Linked DNA regions of Tamandua tetradactyla. The protein of the gene in region 1 binds, or shares a complex with, the protein of each later gene. Links are inferred from orthologs where the notes say so. Each region holds a gene or a part of one and is shown on either strand. Other genes may lie near its edges.

Region 1 (7,902 bases):
GGGAATCTCTGACATCTTGGGAGTGTAGAGAGCATAAGAAGTCGAGGGTGTACTTGGGGAGGCTGTTGTCTATCTCAAGAGAGCCTTAGATTTGAGATAAGGGAAGCCATGCTAAGACATCTAGGTTGGTAATTTGTGGGCTTTTACCAGGTGCCAGAGGAAATGTTTAGCTTAGCTGATGTTGACATTTGGGAAAAAGCAATGGCCATCTGAGTCCAAGCCTGTTTTTCCTTAAGTCCCCCCAGCAAAGAAATCATCTAGCCCTGTCCCCAGTCCTACCCACATACACACATAGCCTGTGAGAAACTCTGTTTCCTAGGGCAGGAACCCCTACTTCCAGATTCAGAGTAGGTTTTATGTCTATTAGTTAGGCAAGAGGATGGCAAACTTTTTTTTTTTTTTTGGTAAAAGGCCAGGTAGAAACTATTTTAGGCTTTGTGGACTTTAAAGTTGGTCTCTGTTGCACCTGCTCAGCTCTGCTCTTGTATGTAGCTCTGGACACTACATAAGTAACTGAGCATGACATGTTCCAATAAAACTGGAAATATTTGCAAGACCATGCAGTAGCAGAATTTAGCTGTAGTTTGCAGACCCCTTGCTTAATCTGTAAATTCTGCTGCATGTGACAGAGTCCCCACACAATGGTGGCTAAAACAAGATAAAGGTTTATTTCTCACATAGCATGAAAATAGTTTGTACTAGGGCTGGTGTGGCAGCTCTGTTCCATGAAGTCATCTAGAGACCTAGGCTCCTGCTGTCTTGCTGTCCTCATGATCCAAGATGGCTCACCACCATGTCCACTTCCCAAAGCTTGAGGACACTTCCCAGAAATTATACATACCACACTCTGTGTCCCACTGGCCAGATTTCAATCACATGGCCATATCTAGCTCCAAGGGAATGTGAGAAGTGTCGGGTTTTTTTAAGCTGCCATCTGCCTAGCTAAAAACTGGAGCTCTCAGCCTCCACCATCCATCTGAATTGAACAGAAACATCTGTCAATTCAATAGAGCCTATGATGACTGTATGCAGGGCATCAACCCTGTTTCCAGGGGCAGGGCAGGTAATACAAGGGAATAAAACTGGCCAGGTGGAGCTCCTCACCTGTCTGGTAGCTTCTGCCCTGCCCCTGCTATAAGTCTAGAGTTGGGCCTTTCAGGAGAGCTCAAAAACAGGAGCTTAAAAGGATATCTCCAAGTATTTGCAACATTGACCAAATAAAACACGAAACAGAAGGTATCTTTGATTCTAAACCAGTTTCCCACAGGGCCAGGCCAGCCCTGCCCTGAGCTCCCACCTCCCTCCTTATGTTCTCTGGGATTCCTGCTCAAAAGCCAAAGCTCCCTGTTTAGATGTTTTAATTTAGAACTTTTCTGTTTTTAGATACTATTCTGTTAGTTTATTCATTTTATGCCACCTCACCTACACATATAAAAATATTCCATGCCTAGAATAGTATGCAAAATTATTCAAATGGTACATAAATTATGAGAGGGATTGATGCCATCCAATGGGGTGGCCCCTCCTTGAGAAGGAAGAGCCAGAGACTCAGCTTGCAGCCCCCGTGTGACTCAGAGTCCAGCTTCCTGCTCTGCTGCCCCAGCCCCAAAGGCCCAAGTTGCTCTGCATTAGAAACACTGCAGTCTTGCAAGTCAGCCACACCTCATCTTCCCTGTAGCCCATTAAAGCACAAATGCAGTGCCCTTTGCTCCAAAAGCCCATGGCACACATCTGGGAAGCATGAAAGGTTATTATATAATCTGCAGCAAGCTGGGATTTAAAGCTATTTAATTGGAATGAGGGGAATACAAATAACATTTTTGATTGAAAACAAAAGATCTCACTGTTAGGCTGATTTCACTCTTTCCCTAAAGGTCTCCATATTCTCCAAAGACTGAAGCCCCAAATGAATATCTTTCGGGTCCTATTTATCAGAAGCCCTTTGCCTTCCTGGGGAGGGAAGCAAATCTCTCCAAGGCCCCCAGAGCTCCCCTCGGGCGTGCTGGATGTAGTGGTGGTGCAGCCTGGCTTCCCAGACAAAGTCCTGACCACACTCGGTGCAGGCAAAGGGGCCAGAAGCTGTGCGGGCCTCGTGGGCCTGGCGATGCCGCCTCAGAGAAGAGGCCCACCCAAAAGTCTTGCCACAGTCAGGACAGGGGAAGGGGGGCTGGGGAGTCGTGGGTGCAGTCGGTGGGGAGGACCTGGTGGCGGGACCATGGTTGCGCTGATGGACGATCAGGGCCTTGGAGGAGGGGAAGGAGCGGGAGCAGATGAAGCAGATGAAAAGGGCCCCCTGCAGCTTCTGGGCCACAAAGTCCGCTGGGTGCTCCCGCTTCATGTGTCGCTCCTGGAACTTGGAATCGATGAAGGTGATGAGGCAGTGCGTACACTGCAGGGCCCCTGGATGGCCTGAAGGATGGGGAAAATGTCAGGAGAAGCCAGCAGGAGGCTCCAGGACCTCTCCTGATCCCCGAAATCAGGCCAACAATAGCACCAAGTACTCACTCTAGGCCAGGCTCTATGCCTGTGCTGGACAGAGTTATGAGGGAACTATTATTAAACCTGTTTTATAGATGAGCAGACTGAGGCTCAAAAAGTGAAGCAACATCCAGTAGAGCCAGGATGGAACCCAGGGAGTGATGGGCAGCAGCAGTGTGGTGGTAGAGGCCAATCTCCACAGCCAGTCTACCTGGGATTGAATCCTGGCTCCATCACTTCCTAGACATTGGTTCCCCCCTCTGGAAAAAGAGGTAATAACAGTATCACCTCATAGGGTTGTTGGGAGGGATAAATGGGTTATTTTCTTTCAAGTACCTGGAAAATATATATGTGCTATACAGCGGTCTGCAGTTATTACTACTGAGAAAAGCAGCCTGACATCCCAGAGCTGGTCTGGAACCCATAGCTAAGTCTCAGTGTTCTGTTGAACATATACAATTTCAACAGAACATGAACATCAGACAAGACCATGCAGAGACCTTGAAGAATCAAGACAAAAAACGAGACCATGCTAAAGTCATGTCTGAACACAACAAAAACATGAATCTTGTCCAAATCACAAAAATGACCCAAGATCCCCCTATCCCGGCTAATGGGAGTGACTGCTGCTGCTTTAACAATCACAGCTTCAGCCTCACTTTGTTCCTTCTTCCCAGATAAGATGTATTAAGATGTCTAATCAGAGAATGGCCCCTGCTTTCTGACAGCATCCAATCCACAACAAAACTCTGCTTCCTTGAACCCTCCCCAAACCTGCCTAACACAAACCCTAATCCTATAGTAAGTCCTTTTTTATACCCTCTGAGACCACCCACAGCTCCCCCTGGTGTGTGTTCTCCCTTGCGGTATTCAACTACAGGTGTGTTCCTGGTGGGTGGTCTTGGGCTGGAGGGCACTGACATTACTGCTCTCATGCTTATTAATCCTTAATCTCTCTCTGCCTCAGTTCTCTCATCTGTAAAGTGATAATACCAATTTCATTAGGTTTGTTTGGAGGACTTAATGAGATAGTGTTAAACTCAGAGTGCTGTCTGGCACATAAGTATTCAGTAGAAGTGCTTGCTATTAAGTCAAACGGCTATCGTTGTTAACATCCAACTTTCTCTTTTTCTGCAGCAAATTCCCCCCAACAGCTCTGTGAGATGGGTAACGGCAGCTCCTTTTGACAGCTAGGGTAATGGAGGCCCAATCACACAGCAAGTCCAGGACAGAGTTGTGGCCAGAACCTCAGGCCTTCTCTCTCAATCTGCCCTTTCCCATCTATATCTCCCACCCCATGCCTGTCCTGGATGTTAACGTCTGCCTCTGAACCACATCCCATTCCTGTTTCTGTGGCAGGAGCAGGGTGGGTGTACCTGAGGGTAGTGAGGGTGGGGAGAGGCAGTTCCTGTTAGGCAGTTCAGGGAGGGACCACATCCCACACAGCCTTGAACACTGAAATGCTGTAGAGATCCTTTTAGCATCAGTTCCTGTTCCCCACCCTCTCTGGCTAGAAGTACTCACAGATGTCACCTCCCGGGCTGCGGGAACTCCTCTCTTTTGACGAGTCCTGTTGCTCCATGGTCTTTTGTGGGTGCAGGTCCTCCATGGAGACTTGAGACTCCTCTAGTCGATAGAGGAGTATGAATGACAGAATAGTAAATCAAGTGAGGCAGCTCATCTGTCATCAGCCTCAGTCAGAGGGCCCGCTAATCCTGTGACCTCTGACCGCAACAGAGACTCTCCATGCCAACCTTTGACCCCCATGACATGCCATCTCCTTGAACTCTAACCTGATGAAAACTTCCCAAAGGATTCCACTCCCCAAGTTCGTGACTCCCCTATAGCCTTCTCACCTGTGTGACCTATGACATCCTGCATGGTTCTAACTCTGAATTCAGAGCGTGGGACCCTTGATTTCTGACACCAGCAAGTCCCTCCGATCCCCGTCTCTCCCACCTGTCGTAGGTCTGGTACGTGAACTCTGGTCCCACCCTTTAGCCCGCCTCTTCCCGGGAGACCTCCTCCTCTGGCATCCTGTGACTACTTCTACCTTCCACGCACGCCTTCACCCGCTCCGTGTCCCTGTGTCCCAAGCACTGCCCACGGTTCCCTGCTCCCGACTTCCGGAGCCCTCTGACTTTCTCCCTACAGCACAAGGCTGCCTTTGGCTGCGCCTACCAGTCGTTCACCACAGTTGCCGCGCCTTTCCGCCCCGTGAGCCCCTGGAAGCCGAAATCCCAGATTACCACCGGGCAGCGGCGTAGCCGCGCCAACGCAGGGCTCCGAATGCGGGAGGGGTCCTTCTCCGGCAGGGGGAGCGTTATGATGACGTCGCAAGACGCCATTGCCGTACAAACTTAAGCTTTTTGCGTACGGATGGTTAGGCGCTCGCGGTACGCAGGCGCTTTGGCACCTTCATTGTTCCCCGCCCAGATGTTCCAATCCAAGCTTTCGAGTCACGCCTCTTCCTCCAGGGACTGATATCAAAACCCCTGGATCGGGTCCCGACGTCCCCAAATCCGAGCGCTCTGGTCTCTCCGTCCTCCGTCTCCCGGAGCACAGGAGCCGGGCTTCTTAGGGCCTGACCCGGCCACCACGAACTGCGCTCGCCCGTGTGTCGACAGCTCGGTTAGTGATTTGGAAGTGCTCCGGGAAATGGTGGTGGTGGGGGGTGGGGGTGGGGAAGTAAAATACTCAATATCGCCGAGGGAGAAGGGGACTCGAGCCCGCGTTTCTCGAATTTTTGAAGCAAACGCTTGCGTCCGGAAAGATGGTAAGCAGGATGCCTGCGTACCTGGGGAGTTCGGCCTGGCGCCTGGGTTTCTGGATCCTGGGGAATGACATTGAGGAATGGGAGGAGGGGTCGGGGCGGAGGACTGATTCTGGGTACGGAGTGGGGAGACTAGGAAAGAAAAGGGCTGGGGAAATTCCCTGATCGGGGTCTTTCCCATCTTGCTTTCCAGCCATGCCTTCATCACGGGGTGACGTTACTGCTTTGTTTCTGGGGCCCCCGGGCTCCGGAAAGTCTGCGCTGATCACAGCGCTGTGCGACAAGGATGTGGAGACACTCGAAACCACCGAGGAAAGGCCGGAGACTGGGGTCCCCATCCTTCGGGCTGCCGGCCCAGGCCTCTTCCTGGGCGAGCTGAGCTGCCCACCCGCAGCGCCGGGAGCGTGGGCTGCAGAGGCCAACGTGCTGGTACTGGTGCTGCCCGGACCCGAGGGGAACAGGGAGATCTTGGCGCCAGCGCTGGGAGAGGCGGCGCGTGATGCCTTGGCCCGGGGGACTCCGCTGCTGGCTGTGCGGACCCTCCAGCCCGGGGATTCACAGAATGAGTCCCGGGCCCGGGATGAGACAGAGGCCTTGCTGGACAGCGCAGGATTGGGAGCCGCGACTCTCTTCGTGGTGCCAACCCGCTGCGGCAGCGGTGACCGCTGCGAAGAGCTGGAGCGCCTGCGGGCGGTGCTGGAGAGCCAAGCGGAAGCTCTGCAGAGGTGAGTGCGAGAACTAAGGGTGGGGGTGGGGAAAAGGGCCCTTAAAGTGCTTGTTGAAGTCTGCGAGGACTCAGCTCCAGTGAATTTTGGGCAAGCTGTAAGTCCCATCCTTCAACACAGGTTTTGAGGTCAGCAAGGCCCCACTCCAGGCCAGGGCTTTGTGCTTGGCCCTTTTCTGTCATCTGCGCTCCACCCCCAACTAAGGGTCAGCTCCTGGTCCTGGCCTGTGCCCACTTGCTGGCTACCTGCTGCTGAATTTTTTCCCCAAGCCCCATACACCTCATTTTATAGACAATCAGAACTCTCAGAGAGGTAGCTTCTTGTCCAGATCTAATGCTTAACTTTTTTCCTTATTCTCACCCACCCAATGTTGCCTTAGCCACACGTCCCAGGTAGGAACTAGTAGATGAAGCTTCTCCCCTCACTGGTTGTCCTCTTTCCCGGCCTCAGGACAGAGCACTCTTTGGGACCTTTTCCATGTCAAATAGTGCTGCAGTACAGGCCCAAGTACAATCCCAATTCTCTTTTTTGCTCCAAGCCCACGCCCTGTGAGCTTTGCCTCATATAAGCCCTGCCTCCAAATTCCATATACCCGATAGTTTTTTTTCTCAATGTTTTTATTGACAAATCTTCACACATGTACAGTCCATACATGGTATGCACTCAGTGGCTCACAGTATCATTGTATAATTGTGTATTCATCACCATGATCATTTTAGAACATTTGCATCACTCCAGAAAAAGAAAAAATTCATACATCCCATATCCTTACCCCTCCCTTTCATTGGCCACTAGTATTTCAATCTACCCAATTTATTTTACCCTGTATGCCCCCCTTTTATTTTTTATCCATATTTTTTTACTCATCTGTCCATACCCTTGATAAAAGGAGCATCAGATACAAGATTTCCACAATAACACAGTCAGTTGTACAAGCTATATCATTATACAATTGTCTTCAAGTATCAAGGCTACTGGAACACAACTCAAAAGTTGTTTCAGGTACTTCACTCCAGCCACTCCAATACAACATAAACTAGAAAGGGATATCTGTATAATGTCTAAGAATAACTTCCAGGATAACCTCTTGACTGTGTTTGGAATCTCTCAGCCACTGAAACTTTATTTTGTCTCATTTCTCTCTTCCCCCTTTTGGTCAAGAAGGCTTTCTCAATCCCATGATGCTGCATCCCGGCTCATCTCGGGAGTTCTGTCCCACGTTGCCAGGGAGATTCACACCCCTGGAAGTCATGTCTGACATAACATGGAGGGCAGTGAGTTCACCTGCCAAGTTGGCTTAGAGCAAGAGGTCACATCTGAGCAAGAAAAGAGGTTCTGTAGGGATTACTCTTAGACATAATTAGAAGTAGGCTTAGCCTATTCTTTGCAGGAATAAGTTTCATAGGGGCAAACCCCAAGATCAATGACTCAGCCTATTGATTTTGTTGTCCCTACTGTTTAAGAAAATATCAGGAATTCCCCAGATGGGGAAGTTGTATATTTCCTCCTTTCTCCCCAGTCCCCCAAGGGGACTTTGCAAATACTTCTTTACTTGCTGTCTAAATTCCTCTGGGATATACTGGGGCATCAGACTTATCTGAACAAACCAACAAGATCTCACACCCTGTTCAAGATTCCATGTACTAAATTTAAAAAATGTTTTTGCATGAGGAAGAACAAAGGAATGTCATTACTTCCGGGTGCTGGAAATAGATGGTAATCAATATTTTAAAATTTTACCTTATGTGTGAGACTAAAGCAAAAAATGTTTATTTGGTACAAAATTTATATTTTGACTAGTGCATTTCCTAATATAACTTACGTAGACAGCTTAATTGAACACCATAAGTACATGGAACCTTGAGTAGGGCATGAGATTTTGTTGGTTTGTCCAGAGTGATGCTCCAATAAATCCTAGAGTGATTT
Region 2 (7,904 bases), about 49 Mb from region 1:
CAAAAGAAAATTTATCTCCCCACCACCTTAAGGGAAGCCAAGAGCAACTACAGATGGCCAGGGCTTCCTCCCTGGGTAAGAGTACACCAGCACCACACTGCCCAGAGGCCTGTGGAAAAGGCAGGGAGGCTGGAAGAGCCCATTGGGGTGACTAAATCACCTCTGGCAACACTGCAGCTTCTAAGTTACAGCTGAAGAAGACAAATGGTACCTCGTGGGCAGGACACTGGCATTAGAGAAGAGATTTCTATTTCTTCCCTGCCCTGCCTCTCTGCCAAACACGAGGAAATGAAGACATGGAGATTGAGAAAGAGGAAATCAGACTTAAGAATAAACAGGTCTGGTATTTGCCTTAGCCCTCTTCTGGAGCTTTCAAGGATTTTTAAAGGGAGCATATTTTGGCCACAGTGGGCTAGTTACCAGCTTTAGTTAGATATACTACTTTTAGAGTAACAAATAACACCTGAGTTAGTTGTGGATTACCAAAATACAGCCAGGAACTCGCACTCAGGGGCGAGAAGCACACAATCAGTAACAGTAAAGGACAGTCCAGAGGTTTAGACTGAACCAGTCCATTTTCCTTTCCACAGGGAACTAAAGCTAAGCTGTCAACCTCACAGAAGAGGAAAAATTGTAACGCCCTGCCTAGATTTAGGTCCCAAGTTATAACCTCAAAGATTGCTTTCAGGTAGCAAGACAGAGCACAGGAGCTCCTCTGACAGTCAAAGCAGGTGGCACCAAGACAGGGTTAATCTGTAGAGACTTCAGGGCCCTTGACTGGACAGTAGCCATTTTAATGGACTTGAGTGAGGATCAGGGACCTATAGATTCTCATAGTGGGAAGAGCTAACTGCATTTAGACAGCAAGTAGCAGGATGAATAGCTGAGGCTGAGTCTCAGTCTCAGCAGGGCCCACAAGCTCCTGGTGGAGTGACAGGTCTAATTTCACAGATCATTTAGAGAAAACTTTATTTGAGGCATCAGTTCCAGCTATGGCTTAAAACTGAGTCCTCAACTGTTTTAAAAGATTCTTGGGGTTCTAAGGCAGGGTTTCTTTCGTCTTCTTTTTTTTTAAATTCAGGCCCTGAATTAAAAAACAGGGACTGAATTCTCTTTTGTTAACTTAAAGTATGCTCCCATGTCTTGCTGCCCTTCCTCATTTTCATGGAGGGCTCCTGATGCTAGGAAGCACAAAATCCAGATATTCACTCAAGACCCTTAAGAGTATTCACACTTTCAAAGTTCTGAGTTTGTAAGACGCCAAACAGTGGTCATTACCAGAGGGCCCTTCTACTGACCATCTCTCACCTGGACTGTGGGACTGTCTTATCCACAAACAGGAAGATCGCCTTTTCAGAAGGAAGCTGAATCCTTTTTCTGATGATCCACATAAATTGAGCCACAGTGATGTCAGATGGAACCAGGTACTTCCGTTTGTCAATGTCAACAATTTGAGAGCCTGAGACTTTTTCCACAATCACCTGAGAAAGTAAAGAGAAGTTAGGACTGGATTTCTAAAGTGAGGCTCTGGCCTCACATTGTCAGGGAAGCTAATAAATACAGTAAGAGCTAGGAGGTGGGTGGGAAATTGAGTAGCATGAGAAAATAAGCCCCATCTTAATAAACCACACACTCTGGAGATTGAGAAATGACATAAACGTGTTACAATGGTAAGTGCTTTTCTGTGGTCACGTACTGTATTTCTCATCCCTGATCTCAGCCTGTATAAGAGAAACACAGCTCTTACTACTAAGCTTTTCAACATTCTATTTGAGCAGAAAGGAGAATATCTGGTGAGGATTTTATCTAAAGCCTGTTACCCCAGGATCCCAGACAGGATCTGCTTCACACTACAGGAGAATTAATATCCCAAGGAGCCCTGGAAACAAAGAGGGATGGACTAATAAGAATGACTAGCTACCCCAGCCAGCCAAGAACCACGCTCTTCGTTTGGCCTGTTGCTTCTGTCTGAATGAGGTCTGAATGTCCTTCCTGCTCTCTCTCCAAAAGAATTGTTCACAGGCAAAGAACTACAATAAAAGGCCTGATTCCCTGGGAAAACCAATATTTCCCCACCCTGGAAGAAATACAGGATCATACTTATTGTCTATTAAAGGGAAACCAGAGGACAAGGGATTCTTTTGTGGCTTTCAGGTTTTTTTTGGTCAAAGAAAGCAGGGTCTGAGTGAGGAAAGGAAGCTGGAGGTTATGTAAAAATGGAGGTTTGAAGTTAAAAAGGAATGTTCTGAGACTGAAGTACCACTTCTAAGACCAAAGTGACAGTCCTCCTCCACCATTATTCCCCCAAGTGGCAATGACCTATTGCCCTGTCCCAGAACAACGTTCCTTATATAATTGGCGAGGGAGCCCAGAGGCTGCAGACAGCTCTCTGGCCTAGATCAGGAGATTCAGCACCGAGAAACCTTGAACAGCAGAAACCCGAGCCCCTCACGCCCTGCCCCTGACCGCCCTAACACAGTCCAGCCTTTCTGCTACTACAACCGGGACTGGAACCTCAACTTGTCAACTGCTGAATGGCCTAGTATCCTAATCACAGACCCTAGACGGCAGGGGTGACGGCGAGGTGAGGGGGCGGGGGAGGCCGAACACTCACCGGAACCCGGTCGGGATATTTCGCTCGGATCTTCGCGGATTCCACGCATCTGTGTTCTGTAGGGGAAACACACGGAGCTGACAGACACGCCGGCCGGTATCGAGTCCCCAACCTTCCTACCCCGCGACCTGCGCACGTCCCGGGCCCTCGTTCGAGCGTCCCCGCGGTCGCTGTCCTTTATCCCCTGACTCTTGGTCGGGACGAATGAGGGCGTGACGGGGCCGGCGTCGGCCATCCAGGGACCGGGGCCTCGGCGTCCCAAGCCCAGGGCACAGCATCAGCCCCGCCAGGCCCGACCCAGGACAGCCCGAGTGGGGGAGGGGGCCCACCCGCCACCCCCACCCCCACCCCCACCCCCACGGCCCGGCAGGCGGCCAAGCGCTTACCCAGCGAGTGGTCCTCCTTGAACATCCACTTCATGGCGGCGGCGGCGAAGGGACAGAGCCGGCTCTCCGAGCCGCGGAACTCAGCGCACCGACCACAACAACAACGACGGCAGCGGCGGCGGCGACTACACGGCAGGCGGGACTTCCGGCTGCCCGAGCTTGGCAACGGGCAGGAGGCGGGGCTTCCGGCGCCACTTGCCGGGGCACCATGCCAGGGGGCGGGGCCACACGAAGGGGAGGGGCCTGGAGGACCCCGCGAGGGGCTCCGCGGGGCGCCGGGACGGTTACCTGGCTACCTGCTGCGTAGGTGTGTCTGTGAGGGATGCTGGTGACTCCGGGAGAGGATGCTCCGGGAAACGGTGACAGGAGCAGGGTCTGGGTGGACGTTAGTTATGGGAAGGGGAGTTTGGAGTATGGCTAATAGGACAGGGCAATTACAGAGGGCTTTTGATGGGGAGGTCTGATTAGGGTGTTAGTTGACAGGAGGGGATGTTTGGAAGTATAAAAGACATTGGGTTTCTGGGGTTGACGATGGAAGGGGGTCTGTTTGGGTATTGACATTGTTTGGAGGGGGGGGCAGGTGTGGCTCGGTATGACAGTGTGTGACTAGTTTGAGAAGCCTGGGGTGGGGAGTGGTGTACTAGAGACAACCTGGAAGACACTCATAATAGGTTGCCTTCGATGTAGAAATCGAATTTGAACAACTTTCATTTCCTTCCTTTATTCATACATAAATATTTGATGAACATTTAAGAAAGGGCATCAAAATACACATTTGAGGAATGTAACTTTATTGATCACTAAGAGAGACCCCTTAACCTTACCTAGTGACTGTCAGTCTCGAAGAATTACCGTGACAGCTGGTCAGGAGTCGGGCTTCCTTGTTTGGCAGATGGAGGATTGCAAATCACAGCCTGGGCTGTGTGTGTGTGTGTGTCACTTGCCCCAGCACATGCCTTGACGCCTTCCAATCCATGATGTAATCCCCTTCTTCCAAGCAGAGTCATCAGGGCAGTCCAGTCTGGGTCATCATCTATTTATGAGCTGGTGAATGTTTAATAAGAATATTCACTTAATTGGGCACATGACCCTTACCCCGTGCTTGTGATTCTGATGCATCTGAATGGCCTGTATTTGAATATTATCATTCATCATTTCCTACAATTAAAATTCTCCATGGATGCTGTTGAATCTAGCTTCATTTTAAAATTATTTTTGTTATTTTAAGACTGCATGTCTGAGCAGCCAAAATAGGTGAGTGTTTGTTTGTTGATAATAACGTGAAAAATTCTTTTAATTTCATACATAGAAATCAGGTGTTTTTGTATACGGGAGCACTGTTCTAGGTGCTGGGGAAACAGCAGTGAGCAAAACACATAGCATCCCTGTTCTCATAGAGTTTACTAAAATTCTAGTGGAACAAGACAATAAATAAATATGTCATATAAATAGAGGTGCTGTTTAGAAAAGTAAAGCAGGGTAAGGACCTAAAGAGTGATAGTGGGATAAAATGCTTTATGGATCGAGTGGTGGCATATTATGGGAACAGGAAGGAGCTGGTGTGTCTGGAACTGAGGGAACAAAGAGGACAGTGGTAGAAGAGGAGGTCAAAGAGGTTTTGAGCCTCATATACCATGGACAGAACTTTGAATTTTATTCAGAATGAGGTGGGAAGTTAGTGGAGGACTTGAGCAAAGGACTTTCCTTTTTAAATGATCAGACTTGCTTGTGTGTAGACAGTAGATTATGGTGGGGGGTGGGGGTGAAGGTGGAAGTAAGGGGACAAGTTAAGAAGCTGTTGTGATAATCCACATGAAAGATGATGTTGATTTAGACCAGGATGGTATCTATGGTGGTGGTGGGAAGTAATTATATACTGGATATATTTTGAAGGTTAGAGCTTACAAAATTGGCCGATACATTTAAGTAAAATGAAATGACCACCCACTTTGGGCATTGCCAGGAGAAGACCCCTTCCCAAAAAGCTTTTCTAGAAGACAAAAACAATTCTGAGAAAATGGAATACACCCTACAGGATTGCTTTGGTCCAGTAGAGAAAGCTTATCAGAATGGACAAGCATACCATACTATCAATTTATATCTGCTCCCCACTTTGTAAGACTCCTCTATGTAAAATGGAAACTAATAGCAGCCAAGCAGAACATTTCCTTGCTTGCTTCTGCTTTCACCCTGTCTGAGCTTCTCTTTTTCACCCCTTTAATGGCGCTTCCTTCTACTTTCTGAATGGAATCCTGCCCAGTTTAAGAATTACTTAATAATGCTTTAAGATCCTAAATTGTATGAAACGTATTGCTTTTATCAGATTGGATATGGGTGTGTATTAGAAGTCAAAGTCGAGGTTGTTGGAAGAATTGAATTGCCATTTGCTGAAATAGGGTGGAGCCAGTGTTGTTGAAGTGGGGTCAAGAGTTTGGTTTTGGATATATTAAGCAAAAGATGCCCAAGAAACAGATCCAAAAGACATCCAAATGAAGATGTGAAATTGGTAAATAGATCTATTAGTCTCAGATTCAGGGGAGAAGTATTTAAAGCTATGGAACTAGGTGAGAGCTAGAGGGTGAGTGAAAATAAAGGGAAAAATATCTATTTTAAGGATAGAATTAACCCCCAAGGAGTGAAGATGGTTGTTCACCTTCTCATAATGTGTGAATCAGCAGAGGAGTTAGAAATTGGACCCAGACTCTTGCTTCCCTTTACAGAGTTGGTAATTATGTTCTGGTCCCAGGCATGTATCTATCACCTTGCACATGAGAACTCAGTATATTTCTCAGGGAAAGGAGTTATCCACCATTCACCAACTCATGGTCCTGCCTCCTGATGGTTTCATTGATGTGCAGTGTCTTTCTGTCCTCTCTCCCTACCTACTTTTTTTTTTATGTCTTTTCCCATAATAAATACTTGTGTAAAGTTCATGCACCTCACAGAAGCTGAAACACTCAATGCACCTACATTCTTAGCAGTCAGCTGCTTCTATTTCAGCAGTAACTAAATTGAAACTAGCTACAGTATGTTTCCTTCAGCAGTCCTTCAAAGCCTCTTTCCTCCAAAGAGGACTGTAACCAAGAAACCAGGATTTAAGTGATGACTTTGATTACTGAATCATTATATAAATATTCCTTTTTCCTTTATGGCATATTGGACAGAGGGAAATACCTGAAATCTCTGAACTGTCCTGATCCCTGGTAATGATTGTATAGCCCTTATCTTCTCTGTGATTGTAAAAACCCTGTGACTGATCTTCATTTTACCAAGTTATCCAGTTTTTCAACTTTAGAGTCTTGTAATAACTAAAGACAGCCCCTAATATTTATTAATGAAGTATCTTGGGTCTGGACCAGAACTAACCCACCCCAAATCTAAAGTTATCTTGATAAAAGAGACTGGATCTAACAAAAGCGGGTCTGCCTGACATGTGCAGTAGCTTAGACTTTAACCTGTGAGACACCTATACCTCTCCATCATTTTCTTACACACGTTCTGTAACTAAGCATGTAATCGATCTGCACAAGCTCAATAATTAGATCACCTCTAATTACATCATCTGGGGCCATTGTGCTCATTATTCTAAACCGTGCCCATCTTTTCTCTAATAAAACTATCAGAATTACTGCAGTTCAGGGAAACAGATTTGGGACAGCTAAGCCATCTATTCTTGTACTACATGCCTCATAATAAACGCTATCTCTCTTTGAAACCCTGGTGTCTCAGGAATTGGTTATTGAGCGCGTCGGGCAAAAGAATCCACGGCCTTTGTCCAGTAACAGGGCCACACTCAGGAGGCACTATCTGGCATCTGTTCTAGAAAAATCTTATTTTAATAGCTACTTGAGTAAATGAAAATCATCCACTTAAAATGTACACAGTATAATTTTTAAGAATCAAACCATAGACTTGAGCACAAAAATTGCTGAAGTTAAAAGCAATGTTGCCACCCCAGAAAAGCTTTAAAAGCAAGAATGAGAGTACTGGACTATGTCAAAGTCATATTTTATGGTTGAGGACAATGTCATCTTGGACCCTTGTAAGGACCCTGAGGATAGTTCTCCAGAATGGGCAGCTCTTGATCTCTGTATGTTTGAATCGCAGCTGTTCATCTAGTAGCTACTTCTAGGTTGCCTTCAAATTAGGGGCACCAGCTACCGGACTCCACTCAGCACAAATTTCACATTATCTCTCTCTCTTTCTTTTTTAAATATTTTTACTGACAAAACAACATACAAACAAACATTCTTAACATATGAACATTCCATATATGGTATACAATCAGTGGCTCACAATATCAGCACATACTTGTATATTCATCACCATGATCATTTCTTAGAACATTTTCATCGCTCCAGAAAAAGAAATGAAAAGAAAAAAGAAAAACTCATACATACCATACCCCTTACCCCTCCCTCTCATTGACCACTCATATTTCCATCTACCCAATATATATATATATATATAATCATTTTGTTCTACATATATAAACAGTAATTCACAATATCATCACATAGTTGCATATTCATCATCACGATCATTTCTTGGAACATTTGCATCTATTCAGAAAAAGAAATAAAAGAAAACAGAAAAAAATTCATACATACCATACCCCCCACCCCGTCACATTATCTCTTGATACTACGATGTGCTCCTTCAGGACTCTTTAATGAACTTGGGTGTAAACCATGGTAAAAAAAAAAATTCTTCTGCTATGTCCAAAATACTAGTGTGTGTATGTGTGCGTGTATGCGTAGCATTCCATTAAGGGGTAAGCCAATGCTATTTTGGGGTAGGGCTACAGCTTTCCCTAAAACCGCTAGCCAAGCTTGTACCCACTATCTGCAAAGAGGTCAAGTATATCATGAGTACTATGTAGTAATTACCCTCTATCCGTCGGA

Evidence for each region. Proteins that work in one complex are often made in the same cells at the same time.
Region 2: the proteins of IRGQ (region 1) and GABARAPL2 are in contact, whole or in part, in a crystal structure (PDB 8Q6Q), measured with the Homo sapiens proteins. The link is inferred for Tamandua tetradactyla from reciprocal best matches to the Homo sapiens genes IRGQ and GABARAPL2. Residues at the interface, in NP_001007562.1 of Homo sapiens: Asp7, Thr9, Leu11, Pro47, Leu49, Phe57, Pro70, Trp71, Glu74, Pro181, Ala182, Gln183, Asp184, Gly185, Phe186, Glu187, Val188, Leu189; in NP_009216.1 of Homo sapiens: Ser10, Glu12, His13, Cys15, Val16, Glu17, Ala19, Lys20, Ile21, Ala23, Lys24, Tyr25, Arg28, Pro30, Lys46, Lys48, Tyr49, Leu50, Val51, Pro52, Phe60, Ile63, Arg67, Phe104.

The regions. Positions count from the first base shown.
Region 1 is NC_135342.1:21,194,658-21,202,559, forward strand, and holds the start of IRGQ (immunity-related GTPase family Q protein), read left to right. Parts: upstream 1-4,631; 5' UTR 4,632-5,136; coding exon 5,137-5,254; intron 5,255-5,444; coding exon 5,445-5,976; intron 5,977-7,902. Other genes in the region: ZNF576 (zinc finger protein 576), read right to left, coding at 1,925-2,409, 4,003-4,104, 4,335-4,359. UniProt on the Homo sapiens protein: Autophagy receptor that specifically promotes clearance of misfolded MHC class I molecules by targeting them to the lysosome for degradation.
Region 2 is NC_135342.1:70,248,284-70,256,187, reverse strand, and holds the start of GABARAPL2 (gamma-aminobutyric acid receptor-associated protein-like 2), read right to left. Parts: upstream 3,172-7,904; 5' UTR 3,035-3,171; coding exon 3,001-3,034; intron 2,671-3,000; coding exon 2,615-2,670; intron 1,482-2,614; coding exon 1,309-1,481; intron 1-1,308. UniProt on the Homo sapiens protein: Ubiquitin-like modifier involved in intra-Golgi traffic. Modulates intra-Golgi transport through coupling between NSF activity and SNAREs activation. It first stimulates the ATPase activity of NSF which in turn stimulates the association with GOSR1.